Anolis sagrei: one gene and its partner. The protein of the gene in region 2 interacts with the protein of the main gene of each other region in a biochemical or structural test. Links are inferred from orthologs where the notes say so. Each region holds a gene or a part of one and is shown on either strand. Other genes may lie near its edges. The genes, in order: GLMN and FKBP4.

Region 1 (11,196 bases), on a different chromosome or scaffold from region 2:
ACAGCTAATGGTGAAGGATGCTTGAAGCCTCACTCAGCTGTATCTTGAAGATTACGCTTCACTCTACAAGAGATGGTGAGAAGGAAACCTCTTAAAATCAAATTTGAAATCTTCCAGTCCATGAACTTATACACTACACAATGTGTATCTGTACTATGAAATATATTGTGAAGAATTTCCTAGAATAGGGATTAGATCGTTTTAATAACAGATTATATTATCTGTGCCAAAACCTTTAGGTACCAAAAGGGAACTGCAAAAATCCTAAATGACAAAATATTATTGAATTATAATACAACAGAAAGTGGGACTCAACAAGATACTCTAAACGTGTTGCATTGCCATTTACCAGAATGTTTTAAAGGGCAACCCTAGTTTAATGAGAATTAAAAAGGACACCTTCTGATTAAGTATAGTTAAGAGCTTTACAGCTGGCCATTAAGCATATTATAGGAAGCAGTTCTGCTGAGGGGCAATAAAGTGCTCTGAAATACTCTGACTTTTAAAAGCCAGGATGTATACATAAACTTTCTATTAATTTATTTTTTTAATATTTTTTTTATTTTAGGACATACACAACATTTACAATTCCCACCACCATGAAGATTGTTTTCTTTTACATATTAATCCTTTTGGAGATTTTTTATTTTCTTATTCTCATCCCATTCAAGAAAGAAGTAAAGTTACAGCCAAGTAAGAGCAGGCAAAGAGGAAGCGAAGCAAAGAGCACATTGTAGTATTTGGAAGCTATCTGCTTTGTGGGGCCAGAAAAAGTCTCTAGCAAGTGGTCTTTAACGTGCAAAACAGGGGAAAGGGAGTTGAACAGGACATTAAAGGAATCTGGCAGCACCTGTAAGATACATTTCTAGTTTATAACTTTCTTTTTTGTGTAGACATTGACCCACAAAAACGGATGCTAAAATAAAAACTAATCTTAAAAAGTGTGGCTAGATTTCCCCCAACCCTTTCCCTCGCTTTTCTTCTTGTTATGCTACAACAGGCTAACATAACCCCTTCTTTAAAAATTATTTTAATTGTCAATTAACAATATCATACGAAAACTGACTGGCACAAGCTGGGGATCACAACCAGACACAGTGAAGACATCTCCCCTTGCGCTATGCTACTCTGCTGCTGAGTATGCATGCCCAGTGTGGAACACATCTCACCACACTAAAACAGTGGATGTGGCTCTTAATGAGACATGCCGCATTATCACAGGGTGTCTGCGCCCTACACCACTGGAAAAATTACACTGTCTAGCCGGTATCGCACCACCTGACATCCGCCGGGAAGTAGCAACCAATAGTGAAAGGACCAATCCTTTGTTTGGGTATCAGTCAGCATGTCAACGACTTAAATCAAGAAATAGTTTTCTAAGATCTACAGAGACACTCGCTGGAACATCTCAGCAAGTGAGAGTCCAAAAGTGGCAGGCTCCAACCCAGAACCTCAATCAATGGCAGATACCAAATGAGAGACTCCCCCCTGGGCACACAGAAAACTGGGCAACATGGAAAGCATTGAACAGACTGCGCTCTGGCACCACGAGATTCAGAGCCAACCTTAAGAAATGGGGCTACAAAGTGGAATCCACGGCATGCGAGTGTGGAGAAGAGCAAACCACTGACCACCTGCTGCAATGCAACCTGAGCCCCGCCACAAGCACAATGGAGGACCTCCTTGCGGTAACACCAGAGGCACTCCAAATGGCCAGATACTGGTCAAAGGACATTTAATCAACTACCAAGCTTGCAAACTTTCTGTTTTGTCTGCTTGTTTTGTTAAAAATGTAATACAAATGTCTGGTTGCTCCTGACACAATAAATAACATTTTAATTGTTTCCTTAAAGGAAGACCATTTATGTAGCTAGAAGGAGATTGAAAAAGTGTTCAAATCTACCAGAGACCATACAACATTGGTCCTCAACCTGTGGGTCCTCAGGTGTTTTGGCGTACAACTCCCAGAAATCCCAGTTTACCAGCTGTTAGGAGGCAAAAACATCTGGGACCCACAGGTTGAGAACCACTGCCATACAACATAGATAAAAAGTACTCTGCACATGCTCAAGGGCAATTACTCTTTAACTATAAAAAGTATACACCCTTAACCGCTTATAACAGAGGGGGAGGGTGCATTAAAATGTGTACAGTCCCCAAGTTACAAACAAGATAGGTTCTGCAGGTTTGTTCTTAAGTTGAATTTGTATGTAAGTCAGAACAGGTACATTTTATTAAGTGCAACTCCAGAGATATATATATCTATCTACCTATCTTTGGTTAGCATAGGGAAAGGTTGACACGCCCATGGTGTTTCTTTTGCTGTCTGTTCCCCTGTTCAGAAGATTTCACAGCACTTTCTGTCCCTGTGAGAATTGGATTGTGAAAAATATGACTTGTTGTGGAAACAAGGACTGGTGATAAAGCTTCAGGGGAGACACGTTTTCCCCATGCTAACTCTTCCAGGAGTGAATTTCCCTTCCTAGGAGTAGATTTCTCTCACTTCCTGTTGTCTCACCCCCATTCTTAACTAGGAGTCGTCTATAAGTCAGATGTTTGTAACTCGGGGACTGCCAGTACATCCTTAACAAGATCAAAGATTCCAATGTGGTGCACAATTAGTAGTGAAACCTCAAATGAAATGTGCAACTCTATGCTTTGACCATGGGGTCATTGCATGGCTGCGCTCGCACATGAATTTGAACTCCTTCTATGGTTTCAGCATTGGAGTATGACTCTGAGACCGGGGTTCGTATTCCCACTCAGCCATAGAAACCCTCTGGGTAACCTTGGGCAAGTCATGCTCTCTCAGCCTCAGAAGACCAAGGCAAATAACTTCTGAACAAACCTTCCTGTACAAACCCAGTGAATGGTTCTCCATAGGTCTGAAACGAATTGGGAGGCACACAAGGAACAAGTAAACGTACTCTAAAATGGAATCTATAACTTTAGCTAATTAGTATAACATTTCATCTTCAATATAAACATATATATTTAACATCCAAATAATCTCCATAAAGGTAAAGGTTTCCGTTATAGTCTATAATCTCCATAGCTATTATTAGCTGTTAAAAGTGTGTACATTGGGGGGGGGGGGGGACTATACATCCCAGGTGCTTCTACACTATATAATTAATGCAGTTTGATACCTCTGTAACTGCCCTGGCTCAATGCTATGGAAACCTGGGAGTTGTAGTTTCACAAGGCCTTTAGCCTTCCCTGCAAAAATGAATCCTATGAGTTGTAGTTTCGCAAAGCCTTTGGCCTTCCCTGCTAAATGAATCCTGGGAGTTATAGTTTCACAAGGCCTTTAGCCTTCCCTGCCAAAGGAATCCTATGAGTTATAGTTTCACAAGGCCTTTGGCCTTCCCTGCTAAATGAATCCTATGAGTTATAGTTTCACAAGGCCTTTAGCCTTCCCTGTCAAAGGAATCCTGGGAGTTATAGTTGCACAAGGCCTTTGGTATTCCCTGCTAAATGAATCCTGGGAGTTATAGTTTCACAAGGCCTTTAGCCTTCCCTGCCAAAGGAATCCTAGGAGTTATAGTTGCACAAGGCCTTTGGCTTTCCCTGCTAAATGAATCCTGGGAGTTATAGTTTCACAAGGCCTTTGGCCGTCCCTGCCAAATGAATCCTAGGAATTGTAGTTTCACAAGGCCTTTAGACTTCCCTGTCAAAGGAATCATAGGAGTTGTAGTTTCACAAGGCCTTTAGCATTCCCTGCCAAAGAAATCCTGGGAATTGTAGTTTCACAAGGCCTTAGGCCTTTCCTGTCAATGGAATCCTGAGAGTTGTAGTTTCACAGGGTCTTTATTTTTCCCTCCAAACTACAACTCCCAGGCTCCCATAGCATTTCAGAGAAGGGAGACTCCCCTTGCACCAGCCTTGGAAGTGAAAGAAGGCTGCAACTCCTTTCCAGGCTTCACTTGGGAGCCTCTCTGAACCCTAGAAACGAAAGACAAAGAGTGAATCCCTCCTAAACTACTATGCCTTAGACCTGGGCTGTCCCTCCTCCCTGGCGCCCTCCCGCCTGTGACCCCAACCTGCAGCAAGACTCCCTCCTCTTACCTCCGCCTTCCCTCTTTCCAAAGAGACCGGTCTACCAGCACGGCCTCATGACTATTCTCAGGCCACGCCCCTTTGGGAGAAGCCACGCCCCTTTCCCAAACAACGCAGGCGCAGTGAGGGGTTAGAGGTCTTTCCCGGCAGCGATGGCGGAAGAGAGGACCCGCAGCGGCTCCAAGGCCAGGAGGCAGCGCCGGCGCCCGGGTAAACGCAGCTGTTTGTATCTATCCCCCCCCCTTTTCATCACATGGACTGTTCCTTCTCCCTTCCTCAATATGTGGAGGCGAAACCAATCCTATCTTCCAAGGGGGTGGCTTTCTAGGGATGGGAGATGCTCTATAGCTGTGATTATTCCTATACTACTGTAGGAATAATATAGTTGAACTGCCAGGGCTCAGTGCTATGGAATCGTGGGAGTTGTAGTTTTATAAGGGCAAGTTTCTCCCTAAGCAAACAGCGGGTTCCCACTCTGTTCCTACAAAAGCTTGAATTGATCATGTGATTTCATGTGGTTTGTCATCTCCCTGTATTTTTGGTTGTTCCTCTTAGGTAATAAACAGCCCAGTGTCCTGACAAATGAAGATGCTGCACAAAGGTATCCTGTCTCTCAGAATAACTGTTTGGTTGCATTATGTGTTTATATCTATTTTGTAAATCCTTCAAAAGGTTTATGAATCAACTAGCTGTCCCCTGCCACACATTGCTGTGGCCAAATCTGTGTATTTGTGTTTTGTGTGTGTGTATTTGGGTATCTATATATATGTGTGTGTGGTTTTGCGCATGCATTGTAATGTATTTCTTTTTATTTGAGGGCTTTTAGATGTTTCTCATGACTTTCTGATATTCCCTTCTCTTTGAGACACATATTCTGCCCTGTTTAACCTATTAAAGACTGGCAGGTCTTTAGTCCAGCTGGCACAGTTTGAAATGAAAAGTGGGTGCCATTGTGTTCTTTGCTTCAGGCATCAAATGTTTTGCGCTGGATCTGTTCGTACCCACTTGTTTCTTAAGCAACTTCATATGAATTGCCAAAATGTGGGTCACACCACTATTTTTTCCCCTTGTAGGAAAGCAGCACTTGAAGCTGCTATTCGAAAGAAGATTGCGCATGAGCGAAAAGCCTTGAAGGTGGTTGAACGCCTCTTAGAAGACGATATCACTGAAGAATTCCTCACAAATTGTGTATGTCGTCTTGTTGCAGATTTATATAAAATATTTAGTTTAAATGTGTCAAGGTCTCCTATAGCTTGTTATGCAGTTAATGGTTCCTTTCCAAAGATAGTTTATCAATCTTTGGAGAGGCACCATAGATGTGTGTTAGCTTGGCAGTCTATGGCCCCTTCTACACTGCCATATAAAATCCAGATTATCTGATTTGAACTGGATTATCTGGCAGTGTAGATTCATGTAATCCAGTTCAAAGCAGATAATGTGAATTATCTGGGAATCATATAACCCTCTCAATCACTGCTTCTTAAACTGGGGTCTCCAAACTAGGTCCCCATAGCTCAATGTGGGGGTCCTGAAAAAATTGGCAAATGTAAACATTTTCTGAATGTCACCTAGTTGCTGTTTTAGACATGTACATGAATCTGTTGTGCAGCATTTACAGCAGACTCTGCAAAAGGAAATGTTTGATTTTTATACCAGTTTTATCTACCCAGGGCTGTGTAAAACTGTATTGGGCCAAAAGGTGTCACAAGTGGAAAAGTTTAAGAAGTCCTCTTCTCAATGACCTTGGGCTGCTGTTGTCAGCATTTCCCACTATTGTCTAGGCTGGTTCGTGCTTCTAAAAGTTTAATTCACAGCATTTGGAGGACTGCAAGGTTTCCCATTTCCTATAGGACATATTCCAAAGGGAGACTCAGCGTGAGGTAGAGGCTTGAGCATTGACTAAAACAACTGTAGTCCAAGGTTTGTAAATTAGAGATGTGTGAAACAGGAGAAATCTGTTCTGTTTTTGTTTCCAATTTTGAGTCCGTCCACCCATTCTGTTTTCATGAAGATTCTTCCCAAAACAGAAATTGAACTTGTTTTGTCGAACCCAAATGACTCCCCTCCTAATCTTCCTTTCTACTGTTTTACACACCGCTTCTTTGTATCCCTGCTCATCCATGAAAACCCACATTTCAAGGCAAATCTGTTTATTTCTTTTCAGGGGAAGTTCATTACACCTTCTCACTATAAAGATGTTGTGGAAGAGCGGTTTATCGTCAAACTGTGTGGCTACCCCATCTGTCGAAATAGGCTGCAGAATGTAAGAGTCTGTGAGTGGTGTATGTGTTGGTTCTTTTTCTGTAATTTTTTGAAATTTAAAATGCATTTCTTCCTGAAAATTATCCAGTACTTGCTTTTTTCGCCCATTTTCATTATCTTCCTGTGTTACAAATTCAAAACTGATTTAAAATGTCTACAGGGTTGCTTTGTGAGTAAGGATGTGAGCCTGGATATCCGCAGTTTTGAATCTGATAGTATATGCCAGTGGTTCTCAACCTGTGGGTCCTCAGATGTTTTGGCCTACAACTCCCAGTAATCCCAGCCAGTTTACCAGCTGTTAGGATTTCTGGAAGTTGAAAGCCAAAACATCTGGGAACCCACAGGTTGAGAACCACTGGTATATACTATATTGGCCCCCGGCATGGGTTAAAACTATGTAGTGTTCTTGCCACCTCTTTGTCCTGCCTCTGCTTTCATCCAATGTGATCAAGGAGAGGAAATCAAGCTCTGCATAATTTAGTTCTCTCTCTAACCTGGAAAAATTGTGTTAAATCTTAACTGTGGTTTACTGAAATTAGCAAACATCAGATTTAGGATTAAGAAGATAGTTTCAACAAATCATTGCTCAGATTAAACATTGTAGGTTTTGTGCACTATGGCAAACTTTAGAAAATGAGATTAAGCTTTCCTTTCTCCTTGCAGCCAAGCTAGGAGGAGAGGGAGAGTTTGGCACCAAAGAAGCCAATATTCTGGCACATAATAATTAACAGTAATATATTGTTACAGGCATACTGGTCCATCGGCTCTCATCGTACATAATAACACACTGTAATGTTTTGCTACATGTTTGCTGGTCCATTGGCTCTCCTTATCCATAATAATACACTGTAATGTATTGTTTCTTGCAGACTGGCCCTTTGACTCATTTCACAAGAGCAAAAGGGGTGATTCAGTTTTAGTTGATGCAACTTAGGAGGATTCCTTGGAAAGGGCTGTCATATCTTGTAAAAAAAGGCAATCAGGAAGGCAATGGAGAAAGGGACAAGGGAGAGGGCCTTCTCAGTAGTGGCTCCCCGGCTCTAAAGATCCCCCCTCCCCGGACCCCCACATTTTATTGGGATCTTAGACAAGCCCCTACACTTCAGCACTTTAGGAAAGAGTTAAAAACTTGTTTTTCCAGTAGGCATTTGATAATTTTTAGACAGTAATCAGAACTGATTGCCAGTCACTTAGCACTTTATATCTTCATTCTGTGCATTCAGCTGGGCTGCTATATTGATTACATGGATATTTTAACTGATTCTATTTTAATAGAGCTTGTTTTATCCAATTTATATACTTGCTTTATGTAATCTATTATTGTTTTCATGTTGAGGTATTTTATTTTATGCATGATGTATTTTGTGTATGGCATCTTTATGTGCTGTTTTGTAAGCTGCACCGAGTCCTTATGGGAGATGGTGGCAGGTTATAAATAAAGTATTATTATTGTTGTTGTTATTGTATTATTATATCTGTCTGAAGAGATGTAAACCTAGAAAAATGCTATTTTAACTATAGGCTAAGGTCTTGTGGGCTAAAATTGTGTCCCCTCAAAATACAAATATCTTCACAATGTAAATCAAAATTCTCAGGCTTCTTGTCAGCTTGAGATATGTGGTTAAAGATAATGTTGTGGCATAATAAGCAATGCCAACTTGGGATTTTTAAAATTAAAGCTTCAGGTGGCATTAACAAATTTGCCAAACTGTGTTTGTCTTTGTGTCTTTTAAGGTGCCAAAGCAAAAGTACAAAATTTCGACAAAAACAAACAAAGTTTATGATATTACTGAAAGAAAGGTATGTTTAAACATTATTCCTATGGTTGTCACTTGATATTATTGCACTGTTACAAGACATTGGCTCTGGATTTCAAAAGATTCTGGGGATGAAATGGCAGACATGTGTATGGTCTCTGTGGCCCTATCTAGACTGACCATTTCATGTTGTTAGCTTCAAGCCGCAGCAGCCAGACAACAAGATCCCGCAAAAGTGTGCAAAAGAAAGCCCTTAGTGCACTGTAGTTTGTGGAATTGCCATCCAGACTCCTTGCGCCTGGAACACTGGTAAATTATCATTAATCAAGGTCTCCAGTGACATCCACAGCCCATAGAGAAACTACATTTCCTAGCATTCCAAATACATACTGAAATGGACAAAAGGAAGAGAGAAATTAGAACCAGTCGTCACTTCCTTGTGGCTACAGCAGCCATTATGGAGTTACAAGATGGAAAAGAGAGGCACAGTGCCCATCAAATATGTTTGGAAGCCTGCAAGAGGTTCCTGGATGAAACAACAACTAGTCATGTATCTGTGAGAAAACCAACAACATTCAGGAAAAATATTTTCCTACAGGTTGTCTCATTTGGCTCATATTTACTGTGCATACTGAACCTAGAATAATTTGCTTATTCCTACAAAAAAAAGCTTTTTCCTTTCCTCTTGTTATGATTAGTGGATTTCTGTGTTCAGAAACTGGTCTTTCATTCTTTACAAATTAATATCTAATGTATTATTTGTTTCATTACAAAAAAAAACTTTGGCTCCTTCCACATAGCTGAATAAAATCCCACCTTTTCTGCTTTGAACTGGAATATATGGCAGTGTGGACTCAAATAACCCAGTTCAAAACAGATATTGTGGGATTTTCTGTTTTGATATTCTGGATTATATGGCTGTGTAGAAGGGCCCTGGGATGATTGATTTTAGCTCACACCATGTTTGTATCTATTTTGTTAAAATGAGGACATAACACTTGCAATTTTTTTGTGTGGCAGTGTTTTTGCAGCAACTTCTGTTACAAAGCATCAAAATACTTTGAAGGTCAAATTTCCCAAAGTCCAGTGTGGCTGCGAGATGAAGAAAGGTAATTAAATATTTATGTAATAAAACAAGTGATCCTTAAAACTCTTTCTTTCCTGTTCACAGTGGAAGAAAAAAAGCAATGTACATATGTACTGGGAAATAAAATGTTTTGGGGGTCGTTTCCAAGGCCATAAAAAGACCTTATTTTAAGGTTTTTGGTTTTGGCTTTTTTTGTGTGTGTTTTGGCTATAGTTGGTACGCATGCTGAAATTCTGGAAATTATAGTCCCAAAAAACTTTTCCAATTTCTGGTTTCAGGTGATATTCTTTGACAAAGGCTGAAGTGTTGTTTTTCAGTTGTGATGGTATTTGTATTTAATTTGATGCCCTAGACTTGCTCAAATTCAAAAAGGTGAAGACGTCCTATTTCTTTAGAACACATGAAGTTGCTTTTTTACTGGATCAGGGTGTCCCGTGTTGCTAGTAAAAATGGGCAGCAATTGAAAATGAAAAATGCCAGTCTATTGACCTTGAATCTTCTGAATATGATACACCTGCTCTCTCAAAAAACTGCAGCCCTAATCAAGATTAACTCTTAAATCCTTCTGAACATATACTGCCTTCTTTTGGGAAGGACTTATTTTACAGCTGTTTGAACATTTCAGTCTCTTTGGAAGAAAAGAAGCTGTCCTACTAAGTTTGGTGGTAGAAGGGTTCATTTCCCCATGCTTTAGTCTGCCTGTATCAGTTGAAGATTACATGGCATTTAAAAATGGTGTACAGATAACTCTGGTGAGGAAATTATAGTAAAGTGTAATATTTTGGAAAGACGCGTAGGGTTACAGGAAAAAATTAGTTCTACAGTAGTGATACAGCCAACAATGGCATTATTAGTTAGACAGTGGTGAGCTACTGTGGCTCTTGCAAGGAATGTCCAAATACAAGAAAGCCAGTGTAGAGCAGTAGTTAATATGTGGGGTCTGGACAATGAAAATCCAGGTTCAAGGTCTCACCAAGACATGACATTCGCTGGGTGACCTTCAGCAACTCAAACACAATTCTGTCTGAGGGCCCTTCCACACAGCCATATAACACAGATATCACAGCAGATAATCCACAATATATGTTTTGAAATGGGTTATCTGAGTCCATGCTGCCATATAACCCAGATAATGTGGAATTTTATATAGCCATGTGGAAGGGGCATGATCTAAGTGATTTTGAGGGTAAAATGAGAAGCACAGCAGTGTGCTCCCCCTTTATTTCACTGGAAGAAAAGTGGTATGTAACCAGTAAATAATGAAACTACAAGAAAGGATATTCCATCTGAACATTAGGAAGAACTTCCTGACTGTGAGAGCTGTTCAGCAGTGGAACTCTCTGCCCCGGAATGTGGTGGAGGCTCCTTCTATGGAGGCTTTTAAACAGAGGCTGGATGGCCATCTCTCGGGGGTGCTTTGAATTGAATTTTCCCACTTCTTGGCAGGGGGTTGGATTGGATGGCCCACGAGGTCACTTCCAACTCCATGATTCTATGAATGTAATTTAGACCCCCCTCTACACTATCCGTATATCCCAGGATCTGATCCCAGGTTATCTGTTTTGAACTGGATTATATAAGTCTCCACTTGGATAAACATATAATCTGACATCAGATCCTGGGATACAGGGCAATAAGTGTACTCCATCAACTTGTCAGCTCTGCCATTATGGTTTCTCTGACTGTCCTGTTCAGCCTGGTGGGGTATCTGAGGTTCATTTCAGGTTTTAGATTGTAGGTGAGTGAGGTGCAGCCCACAGACTGCATATGGCCTGCTAGATCCAAAAGGGTGTTGCCAAGCCTTTGGAATGACCCATGGTATTTTAAACAATGATGTTGTTTAACATGACTTGGCATGGACAAGCATTGACTTGCTGTGGAAAACAAATGTGCAAATGCTTTCGACCCACCTTAATCCCCCTCACTTCTTCCAGTTCTGATTTAAAATCTCGTCCCTCATCTGCCAACCCTCAAGCCCCTTCTTTTATCCCCTTCTTCCCAATCAAAATCATATAAAAAAACAGATGTGTT
Region 2 (11,426 bases):
GGCATGGACAACACTGATAAGATCATGTCACTTTTAAGGCAAAGGAGATTGATTTAACACCTTTGTAATGTCTTTGCTAAGTAGGTACTTGCCTGAGTCATTGCCACCTTTATACTCACCCAAGTACCAGGCCTCAGGAAATCCAGGTGGGCATGCTGCCCTTGAAAAAGCCTCTTTGTTTTGGATATATTGTGACGGGAGCCCCCTTTCCCGCTGCATAAGGCACTTTAAAAAGAATCTATTCAAGGGTGGGATCCACTTGAGTCAGAAACCAAACTATTCCCCCACTCTCCTGGAGGCCCCTTGGCTAAACTGAAATAATAATAATAATAATAATAATTATTATTATTATTATTATTACCTCGCTTTACCTGGCAGGCCTACTCAGTCAGCATTCAACCATGAGTTTTGATTTACATTCTATTGCTACTATATGTCAATTCTGTGTCTGGTCCAAGTTTTATTATATTATTGTGTTTTATCTATGTAGTTGATTGTATATATTTTATGTTTATATGTTTTTGAATTTGTTGTACCATGCCTTGAGAGATTTCCATAACGAATAACATTTCTTCCTCACCAGTAATATGGCTGAGTGGCTTTAATTTACATTTAATTCATATAATTGTTTGGCTTTAATTGTATCTGCTTTGCACTCAAATTTAAACATATTTTAATATGGCATTTTTACAACATCTTTCCATGCTTTTAATTACGGTCGGTCCCCAAGTTATGAACAAGATAGCTTCTGTGGGTTTGTTCTTCAGTTGAATTTGTAATGTAAGTTGAAACAGGTGCATTTTAAAGTGTAACTCCAGCCATAGATGTCATATATTCATATATTTATATTCAGCACACCTGAATATAAGCAAAAACTGATATCCAGTTAGAATCATAGAGTTGGAAGAGACCTCATGGGCCATCCAGTCCAACCCCCTGCCAAGAAGCAGGAAAATTGCATTCAAAGCACCCCCAACAGATGGCCATCCAGCATCTTTTTAAAAGCTTCAAAGAACGCGCCTCCACCACACTCTGGGGCAGAGAGTTCCATTGCTGAACGGCTCTCAGTCAGGAAGTTCTTCCTAATGTTCAGATGGAATCTCCTTTCTTGTAGTTTGAAGCCATTGTTCCACGTCCTAGTCTCCAGGGCAGCAGAAAACAAGCTTGCTCCCTCCTCCCTGTGACTTCCCCTCACATGTTTATACATGGCTATCATGTCTCCTCTCAGCCTTCTCTTCTTCAGGCTTAAGCTGCTCCTCATAGGGCTTGTTTTCCAGACCCTTGATCATTTTAGTTGCCCCCCTCTGGACACATTCCAACTTGTCAATATCTCCCTTCAACTGTGGTGCCCAGACTTGGACACAATATTTCAGGTGTGGTCTAACCAAGGCAGAATAGAGGAGTAGCATGACTTCCCTAGACCTAGACACTATGCTCCTATTGATGCAGGCCAAAATCCCATTGGCTTTTTTTGCCGCCGCATCACATTCTTGGCTCATGTTTAACTTGTTGTCCACGAGGACCCCAAGATCTTTTTCACACATACTGCTCTCAAGCCACGCGTCCCCCATTCTGTATGTTTGCATTTCATTTTTTCATTTTACCAGTTGCCTGATAAAAGCTGACCTGGACTACGATTTCAAACCTGCATGAATGTTTTAGTAATTTTTCTGTTTTAATTGCTTTTATCATTTGGCATTGAATGAATGCCTGTTGTGAAGCCGTTCAGAGTCCCCCTTCAGGGTGTGTGTGTGTGAAAAGGACAGTTTACAAATATGCAAAATTATAGATAGACTAGAGGTCCCCTGCCAAGCATTGCTGTGGCCCATTCTGGTGATCTGGAAAATAAAGTAATGAGAAAGTGTTGGTTTCTAATATATGTAATGTTTTTATGATTGTGAGTAAACAGCACTTCTTGCTGTTTCATGCCAATGTTGATGCGGAGATGGTCTGGTTTACCTACTCTGGAACATGCAACATATAATTGTCCTTCTGTAGGGGTCCCTTTCAAATCGATGATACTGCATCTGTCATATACATATATGTGTGTGTGAATGGCTGGATGGCCCTTTATCAGAAGGACTTTGATTATGTTTTCTTGCCCTGGTGAAGGGAGTTGGACTGGATGGCCTTAAGGCAGCATTTCACAAGCTGGGAAGTCAAGACCCCGGGAGGAGGGGGAGGTCACCAGGGTGGTGTCAGAAGAGTCACCAAAGACCTAGAAAACCCAGTATTTTCTGTTGGTCATAGGGGCTGTGTGGGAAGTTTGCCCCAGTTCTGTCGTCAGTGGGGTTCAGAATGCTCCCTGATTTATTTATTTACTTGTCATGTCAGGAGCGACTTGAGAAACTGCAAGTCGCTTCTGGAGAGAATTGGCCGTCTGCAAGGATGTTTCCCAGGGGACGCCCGGATGATTTGATGTTTTTATCATCCTTGTGGGAGGCTTCTCTCATGTCCCCGCATGAGGAGCTGGAGTTGAAAGAGGGAGCTCATCCGCCTCTCCCCAGATTCGAACCTGCGACCTGTTGGTCTTCAGCCCTGCGGCACAGGGGTTTAACCCACTGCGCCACCAGGGGCTTCTGCTCCCTGGTTGTAGATTAATGGGATTTATAGTTCCCCTGCTCCCTGGTTGTAGATGAACTATAAATTCCAACTCTCAAATGTCAAGGTCTATTTCCCCCAATTTCCATCTGTGTTTATATTTGGGCATATTGAGTATTTGTGCCAAGTTTGGTCCTGGTCCATCATTATTTGACTCCACAATGCTCTCTGGATGTAGGTGAACTACAACTCCCAAACTCAAGGTCAATGCCCATCAATGCCCATGTTGGTCATGGGATCCTGTGTGCTACGTTTGGTTCAATTCCATCATTGGTGGAGTTCAGAATGCTCTTTGATTGTAGTGATCCATACATCCCAGCAACTACAATTCCCAAATGACAAAATCATTATGTTTTGAGTGATGTTCACTCTTTGTGATGTGAGACGTCTTGTTGCCAAATTTGGTGTGACTTCGTTCATCTATTCTTTTGTTTTTAAGGTACTCATTATGCACAGAGCATTTATATATAGATAGACTAGCTATCCCGTGCCACGCATTGCTGTGGCCCAGTCTATTGATCTAGAAAATAAAGTAACGAGAAAGTGTTGGTTTCCAATATATGTGATTTCTTTATGCTTGTGGGTAAATGGTATTTCTTGCTGTTTCTTTGTCAGTGTTGATGTGGAGAGTGTCTGGTTTGCCCACCCTGGAACATGCAAGATATCATTGTCCTTCTTTAAGGGTCGCTTTCAAATCTATGATACTATATCTGTTTGTCATGCGGGTTCAGTGTGGGAAGTTTGTCCTGATTCTACCGTTTGTGGGGTTCAGAATGCTCTTTGATAGTAGGTGAACTGTGCATCCCAGTGACTACAACCCCCAAATGTCAAGGTCTATTTTCCCCAATTTCCATCTGTGTTTATATTTCAGCATATTGAGTATTTGTGCCAAGTTTGGTCCTGATCCATCATTATTTGACTCAACAATGCTCTCTGGATGTAGGTGAACTACAACTCCCAAACTCAAGGTCAATGCTCATCAATGCCTATGTTGGTCATGGGATCCTGTGTGCTACGTTTGGTTCAATTCCAGCATTGGTGGAGTTCAGAAAGCTCCCAAATGACAAATCATTATGACAAAATGGCATAACGACAACTCCCAAATGACAAAATCATAATGTTTTGAGTGATGTTTTGAAGAGAAGGCTGAGAGGAGATAAGATAGCCATGTATAAATATGTGAGAGGAAGCCACAGGGAGGAGGGAGCAAGCTTGTTTTCTGCTTCCTTGGAGACTAGGACGCGGAACAATGGCTTCAAACTACAGGAAAGGAGATTCCATCTGAACACGAGGAAGAACTCCCTGACTGTGAGAGCCGTTCAGCAGTGGAACTCTCTGCCCCAGAGTGTGGTGGAGGCTCCTTCTTTGGAAGCTTTTAAACAGAGGCTGGATGGCCATCTGTCGGGGGCGATTTGAATGCAATTTTCCTGCTTCTTGGCAGGGGGTTGGACTGGATGGCCCATGAGATCTCTTCCAACTCTTGATTCTATGATTCTATGTTCACTCCTTGTGATGTGAGACGTCTTGTTGCCAAATTTGGTGTGATTTCGTTCATCTGTCCTTTTGTTTTTAAGGTACTCATTATGCACAAAGCATTTATATATATAGATAGATTATGCCTTGATTATATAGATAGATAGATAGATAGATTATGCCCAGGAAAGGGTTAATACCTCTGTTGTTTTGCTGCCTGCGCCCCTGTTCAGAAGATTTCACCTCACTGTGCGAATGGGATTGTTATGGAAAACAAGAATTGGCGGTGAAGGTTCAGTGGAGGCACCTTTTCCCCTGGATTGGATTTCCCTTCCTAGAGAGAGATTTCTCTCACTTCCTGCTGTCCCACCCCCTTTCTTAGCTAGGAGTCGTTTGCATGGCTCCTCTTCCTCTGCTGAGAAAGGGCGCGTGGAATGGATCCCCCCCGCCCTCCTGCCCCCTTGAAGAGCCTCCTTGAGGCCTTCTTTACCTTGAGGACGCCCCCGTCGCTCTTGGGGGTGATGTCGGTGCCCGCCTCTCCCTCCGGCGCGGCGCTCATCTCCTCGGCCTTGCCTTCCTCGGCGGTCATGATGGCGGCAACGCAGTCCCTTCGGGTCTCCCTCCCTCCGTCTGTCTTCCCTTCTTCCTCGAGGCAGAGGGTCCAGAGGCGAGGCCTGGCTACTCGCTCCTCAGCGCCGAGCCTGACTACTTGCCTGCCTGCCTGCCTGCCTGGCGCGCGGCCCCTCCGCAGTCGACGAAGCGGGCCCGTTTCCGCCGCTGGGCGCCGGAAGTCCCGCCCCCTCAACCTCCACAGCGCCGCCGCCGGCAGACGGACCTCCTCCGAGTCAGTCAGTCAGCCAGCGAGAAGGTTCCAGAAGAGAGGAGGGGAAGGCCAGCCCGCTTCGCGCTCGCTCCCTCGTCTCCTCCAGTGAAGCAGGCCCAAAAGCAGCGCTCTTTGCGTGGATTCCCGCGCTGTTTAAGTCAGCCCATGCCTGTCTCTTGGCCACGTGGGGGCCCGCGCCAGGAGGACAACACTGTTGAAGCACCATGAGAGCCTGGTGGGGGCGTGGCCTCAGGAACAAGGGCCTGGTATGCAAGCCTGTAGTCAGGGGGGCGGATTAGGGCTTCGAATGAATTTTAACTGGTTAACCAAATCTGGAGAACAAACCCTATGAGGAGCGGCTTAAAGAGCTGGGCATGTTTAGCCTGAAGAAGAGAAGGCTGAGAGGAGACATGATGACCATGTATAAATACGTGAGAGGTTATCATAGGGAGGAGGGAGCAAGCTTGTGTTCTGCTGCCCTATTTTTATTTATTTATCGTGTCATCAGCAACCATACCATTGTATTACATTTCTAACAGAACAAAACAAACAGACAAAACACAAAGTTTGCAAGCTTGGTAGTTGATTAAATGTCCTTTGACTAGTATCTGCCCACTTGGAGTGCTTCTGGTGTTGCTGCAAGAAGGTCCTCCCTTGTGCATGTGGCAGGGCTCAGGGTGCATTGCAGCAGGTGATCAGTGGTTTGCTCCTCTCCACACTCGCATGTCGAGGATTCCACTTTGTAGCCCCATTTCTGAAGGTTGGCTCTGCATCTTGTGGTGCTAGAGCGCAGTCTGTTCAGCGCCTTCCAAGTTGCTCAGTCCTCTGTGTGCCCTGGGGGGAATCTCTCATTTGGTATCAGCCATTGATTGAGGTGCTGGGTTTGAGCCTGCCAGTTTTGGACTCTTGCTTGCTGAGGTGTTCCAGCGAGTGTCTCTGTAGATCTTAGAAAACTATTTCTTGATTTAAGTCATTGACGTGCTGGCTGATACCCAAACAGGGGTGAGCTGGAGATGTCTCTGCCTTGGTCCTTTCACTATTGGCTGCTACTTCCCGGCAGATGTCAGGTGGTGCAATACCAGCTAAGCAGTGTAATTTCTCCAGTGGTGTAGGGCGCAGACACCCTGTGATAATGCGGCATGTTTCATTAAGAGCCACATCCACTGTTTTAGTGTGGTGAGATGTGTTCCACACTGGCAATGCATACTCAGCAGCAGAGTAGCACAGCGCAAGGGCAGATGTCTTCACTGTATCTGGTTGTGATCCCCAGGTTGTGCCAGTCAGCTTTCGTATGATATTGTTTCTAGCACCCACTTTTTGCTTGATGTTCAGGCAGTGCTTCTTGTTGGTAAGAGCACGGCCCAGAGTGACTTCCAGGTATTTGGGTGTGCTGCAATGCTCCAGTGGGATTCCTTCCCAGGCGATCTTCAGAGCTCGGGATGTCTGTGTTTTGGATGGGTTGGGGATCAGCTGGTTTTCCCTGTAGTAGGCAGTAAGAGCACCTAGAGCTTCGGAAAGCTTCTGTTCTACCATCTCAAAGCTCTCTGCTTGAGCAGTAATGGCATGATCATCAGCATAGATGAAACACTCTGTCCCTTCTGGCAGGAGACATGATGACCATGTATAAACGCGAGAGGAAGTCATAGAATAGAATCATAGAATCAAAGAGTTGGAAGAGACCTCATGGGCCATCCAGTCCAACCCCCTGCCAAGAAGCAGGAATATTGCATTCAAATCACCCCTGACAGATGGCCATCCAGCCTCTGTTTAAAAGCTTCCAAAGAAGGAGCCTCCACCACACTCCAGGGCAGAGAGTTCCACAGCTGAACGGCTCTCACAGTCAGGAAGTTCTTCCTCATGTTCAGGTGGGATCTCCTCATAGGGAGGAGGGAGCAAGCTTGTGTTCTGCTGCCCTGGAGACTTCAAACTACAAGAAAGGAGATTCCATCTGAACATTAGGAAGAATTTCCTGATTGTGAGAGCCATTCAGCAAATACTCTATATGCCCAAATATGAATACAGGTGGAGTTTTGGGGGAAATAGACCTTGACATTTGGGAGTTGTAGTTACTGGGATTTATACAATCAAAGAGCATTCTGAACCCCAACGACATAATTGTGTCAAACTTCCCACACAGAACCCCCATGACCAACAGAAAATACTTAAGGCCATCCAGTCCAACTCCCTTCACAAGGGCAAGAAAACATAATCAAAGCCCTCCTTACAAAGAGCCACCCAGCCATAGGTAGATAGATAGATAGATAGATAGATAGATAGATATATGATTCACATCAGGCCTGTAGCCGGGAGGGGGAGTTAGGGGTTCAACCCCACCCCCGAAATTTTTCAGGTTAAAAAAAAAACCTGGTTTACTTATGAATTTTAACTGGTTAACCAAATCCCCATGCTAAGTCTATGAGACGCAAAAAAATAAGAGTCCCTCCAGAACTGCAAGCACTATCTCAAGCAAATATTGACAATTTATTCACACTGTCATTACTTGCAGCAATAGCTGATGTAGCGAAGCAACAAAGTTCGGGGGGGGGGGGGTTTGAATGCTCTCATTAAGGAGGCCAGACTAGGTGGAAGTGGTTGACAGGGGCAGAGCTGCAGGCTATTGAAGGCTGCTCTGCCCCCTGCTGTGTTCTTTGCTTCAGCGTGAGCTAGGAGGCAGGTTTCAATTCCCCCCCCCAAATTTTCAACCCCCCCCCCCCCCGAAATTTTCAACCCTCCCCAAAAATTTTTTCTGGCTATGGCCCTGATTCACATACACACAGATATATCATCATAGATTTGAGAGGGACCTCTAAAGAAGGACAATTCTATGTTGTATGTTCCAGAGTAGGCAAACCTGACAATCTCCTCATCAACACTGACAAAGAAACAACACCAAATATTTTTAACCCACAAGCATAAAGAAATGACATATATTAGAAACCATCACTTTCAATGGCTTCAAACTACAAGAAAGGAGATCCCACCTGAACATTAAGAAAAACTTCCTGACTGTGAGAGCCGTTCAGCAGTGGAACTCTCTGCCCCGGAGTGTGGTGGAGGATCCTTCTTGGGAAGCTTGTAAACAGAGGCTGGATGGCCATCTGTCAGGGGTACTTTGAATGCAACTCTATGATTCTATGACCCTCAGGCCAAGTCTATGAGAAGCAAAAATTAGAGCCCCTCCAGAACTGCAAGCACTGTCTCAAGCAAATTTTCATTATTTTCATTATTTGCACTGTCATTACCTACCTTTCTACCAAGTTGCATTGCAATAGCAGCAATAGGTAGCATAATGTGATATAAGTATGATAGCTAGGACCCAATGCTGGTTGCGTGACGTGGGTCAGAATTAGAGAAGCGAAGACATTAAGTATTTGAACGTGTTTGCTTATGATTTCCGGATAGCCTTAAGCACTATGCTTGGCTGTTTGTCCCCCCCCCCCCCCCCCAAATCCCTTTCTGGTGAACTATCTTGCCACGACTCTGCATCTCTCACTCGCTGCGCTGTCTCAGCATTAGGTCCCAGCTATCATACTTTTGCCCATAGTGGAAGTGACTAAGTTGGTGGCAGCTGGCAGGCAAAGCCTAAGGCGCTCGTGTATGTGTGTGTAAGGGGGGGAGGGGGAACTAACCTGGATTTCAGGTAGAAACTGAGCTGTCTTCCACTGGTCTATCTAATCCAGGGGTTCCCAACCTGTGGTCCGTGGACCACCAGTGGTCCACAAGAACAAAAATACAGTCTGCTGTTTCACCTTTTCTATACCATTGCCTCAAAATCATGTGGCAACGAGAGTGACTGACCTTGCAAAACCCTCTCATAACACCGAAACAACCAGAGAGGCTGACTACCCACGAAAGACCTGACTACCATATCAGCTCTAAATTATTAAATATCGTTTTCTGTGGGCAAGCAGATGGCAATAGGATGGCCTATGTTCTGTATCAGAAACTAGAGCTGATGTGGTCTATCCAATGCCATTTTCTGAATTAGCACCCCAAATAACCAAAACAAATCTAAAGTTGCTCAAAAACCAATTTGTAACCCTTTTGGTACTAATTTTGGAGAGTGGTCCCTGGTTAAAAAAAAAAGTTGGGAACCACTGATCTAATCCAAGCCCTGCCAAAGAAACAATGGAACAGAAGAGGTTTCCTCTCCTGACCAGCCACATTAGGGTTGAATCTGTTGCAATCACTCAGCCATGAGGGCTGAATCCCACCTGTACAAGCAGGCGCATCACCAGATTTTTTTCTTGGGAAGTATTGAATCCCACCCCCCAAAGATGACTTTTCAGGCCGGTGTCTCCTGATCTGGCATGAGATGTCAACAAAACACTGAAATTTTGTGTATCCCAGATAAATGCCAGATAATCTGGGATAAACAAAACCTGGGATCAGATCCTGGGATATAGGACTAGTCTCTAGGGCTACAGAAAACAAGCCTGCTCCTTCTTCCTTATGACAGTCACAGACTGTCCGGTCCAACTCCCTATCATGCAGGAAAAACACAATCAAAGCACCCCTGACAAATGATCAGGCAGCCTCTGCTTAAAAGTCACCAAGGAAAGAACTTCCACCACACTCCGAAGCAGTACGTTTCACTGTTGAGCAGCGCTTACAATGAGAAAATTCTTCCGAATGTTCTTCATGTGGAATCTTCTTTCCTTTCATTTGAACCCATTGCTCCATTGAGTCTGTGCCCACTTCCTTATGACAGCCTTTCACATATTTCAACATAGCAGTCATGTCTCCTCTCCACTTTTTCTTTGGCAGCCTTGATAAGAGGGCCCAGCACACTGTACTACTCAAGACTCCTAAGGAACCACCAACCAAATGAAAAACTACTGATGACTTTCTAACACTGTGCTATAGAGTGTCCTAACCTACTGCATCTGCGCATGATTTGGTAGCTGCACAGTGGCAGTTAGGAAGGTGCTCCAAAGGGTTACCACTTCTGCCCAGATAATCATTTACCTTAGTTACCTTCACTTCATACAGCATGCTTGTATGTGTTTGATATTATCTATCTTTCACTTGAGACCCTTGTATTTGTATATGGATTTATGCTGCACTAGCCGTCCCCGCCACGCGTTGCTGTGGCCCACATGGGGGTTCTGTGTGGGTGGTTTGGCCCAATTCTATCGTTGGTGGGGTTCAGAATGCTCTGTGATTGTAGGTGAACTATACATCCTAGCAACAATAACTCCCAAATGTCAAGATTCTATTTTCCCCAAACTCCACCAGTGTTCACATTTGGGCATATTGAGTATTCGTGTAGAGTTTGGTCCAGATCCATCATTGTTTGTGTCCACAGTGATCTCTGGATGTAGGTGAACTACAACTCCAAAACCAATGGACACTGCCCACCAAACCCTTCCGGTATTTTCTGTTGGTCATGGGAGAACTGTGTGCCAAGTTTGGTTCAATTCCATTGTTGGTGGGGTTCAGAATGCTCTTTGATTGTAGATGAACTATAAATCCCAGCAACTACAACTCTCAAATGACAAAATCAATTTTTTTGAGTGAAGGACATACATTGGATTGCTAGGTGTCTTGTGTCCAAATTTGGTGTCAATTCGTCCAGTGGTTTTTGAGTTCTGTTAATCCCACAAACAAACATTACATATTTATTTATATAGATTAAATGGGAACATATATTCTATACTAATGCATTGAAGCAACAGTGTTTAACATTAAGGTAATTCAATTATATACTTGATTTTACTCATTGTTCTTTCAGTAGGTTGCCAGCTAACTAGGTGTGTCCTCAGGTTTTCATCTTCAGGTAACCCTACTTGGCTGAAGAAATTCCTTCCTACATTTTCTGACAATTGTCTACATAACTCTCAGTTAGCTTGTGAATACATATTTCTGTAAGTTTTGCTGTATTTTTGTTGTTCATTCGTTTAGTCGTCTCCGACTCTTCGTGACCTCATGGACCAGCCCACGCCAGAGCTCCCTGTCGGCTGTTACCACCCTCAGCTCCCTCAAGGTCAGTCCAGTCACTTCAAGGATGCCATCCATCCATCTTGCCCTTGGTCGGCCCCTCTTCCTTTTGCCTTCCACTTTCCCCAGCATAATTGTCTTCTCTAGGCTTTCCTGTCTCCTCATGATGTGGCCAAAGTACTTCAACTTTGTCTCTAGTATCTTTCCCTCCAGTGAGCAGCCGGGCTTTATTTCCTGGAGGATGGACTGGTTGGATCTTCTCGCAGTCCAAGGCACTCTCAACACTTTCCTCCAACACCACAGCTCAAAAGCATCGATCTTCCTTCGCTCAGCCTTCCCTAAGGTCCAGCTCTATTTTTACCTTTCCTAAAAACCCCATACCTTTTAGTAATATGTATATGAAAGACATCAAATAACAATCTTGATTGTGAAGAAAAGAAGGAAAATAGTTGTTTCATTTTCTTTTATTTCACACGCCTCAAAATAAAAAAAGAACCACAACTAGTAGTTTGATACATTATAAGTAGAACGTGATTTTTAAAGGAGAAATAAAACTTTGTACAAAAACTTTAAAAATCCAACAATTGGA

Evidence for each region.
Region 1: the proteins of FKBP4 (region 2) and GLMN form a complex in vitro, tested with the Homo sapiens proteins (2 studies listed by BioGRID). The link is inferred for Anolis sagrei from reciprocal best matches to the Homo sapiens genes FKBP4 and GLMN.

Annotation. Positions count from the first base shown.
Region 1 is NC_090024.1:150,128,299-150,139,494, reverse strand, and holds the start of GLMN (glomulin), read right to left. Parts: upstream 4,159-11,196; 5' UTR 4,069-4,158; intron 1-4,068. Other genes in the region: putative RNA polymerase II subunit B1 CTD phosphatase RPAP2, read left to right, coding at 4,212-4,269, 4,615-4,660, 5,133-5,247, 6,224-6,322, 8,056-8,121, 9,099-9,187.
Region 2 is NC_090025.1:104,713,228-104,724,653, forward strand, and holds the start of FKBP4 (peptidyl-prolyl cis-trans isomerase FKBP4), read right to left. Parts: upstream 4,865-11,426; 5' UTR 4,664-4,864; coding exon 4,565-4,663; intron 1-4,564. UniProt on the Homo sapiens protein: Immunophilin protein with PPIase and co-chaperone activities. Component of steroid receptors heterocomplexes through interaction with heat-shock protein 90 (HSP90).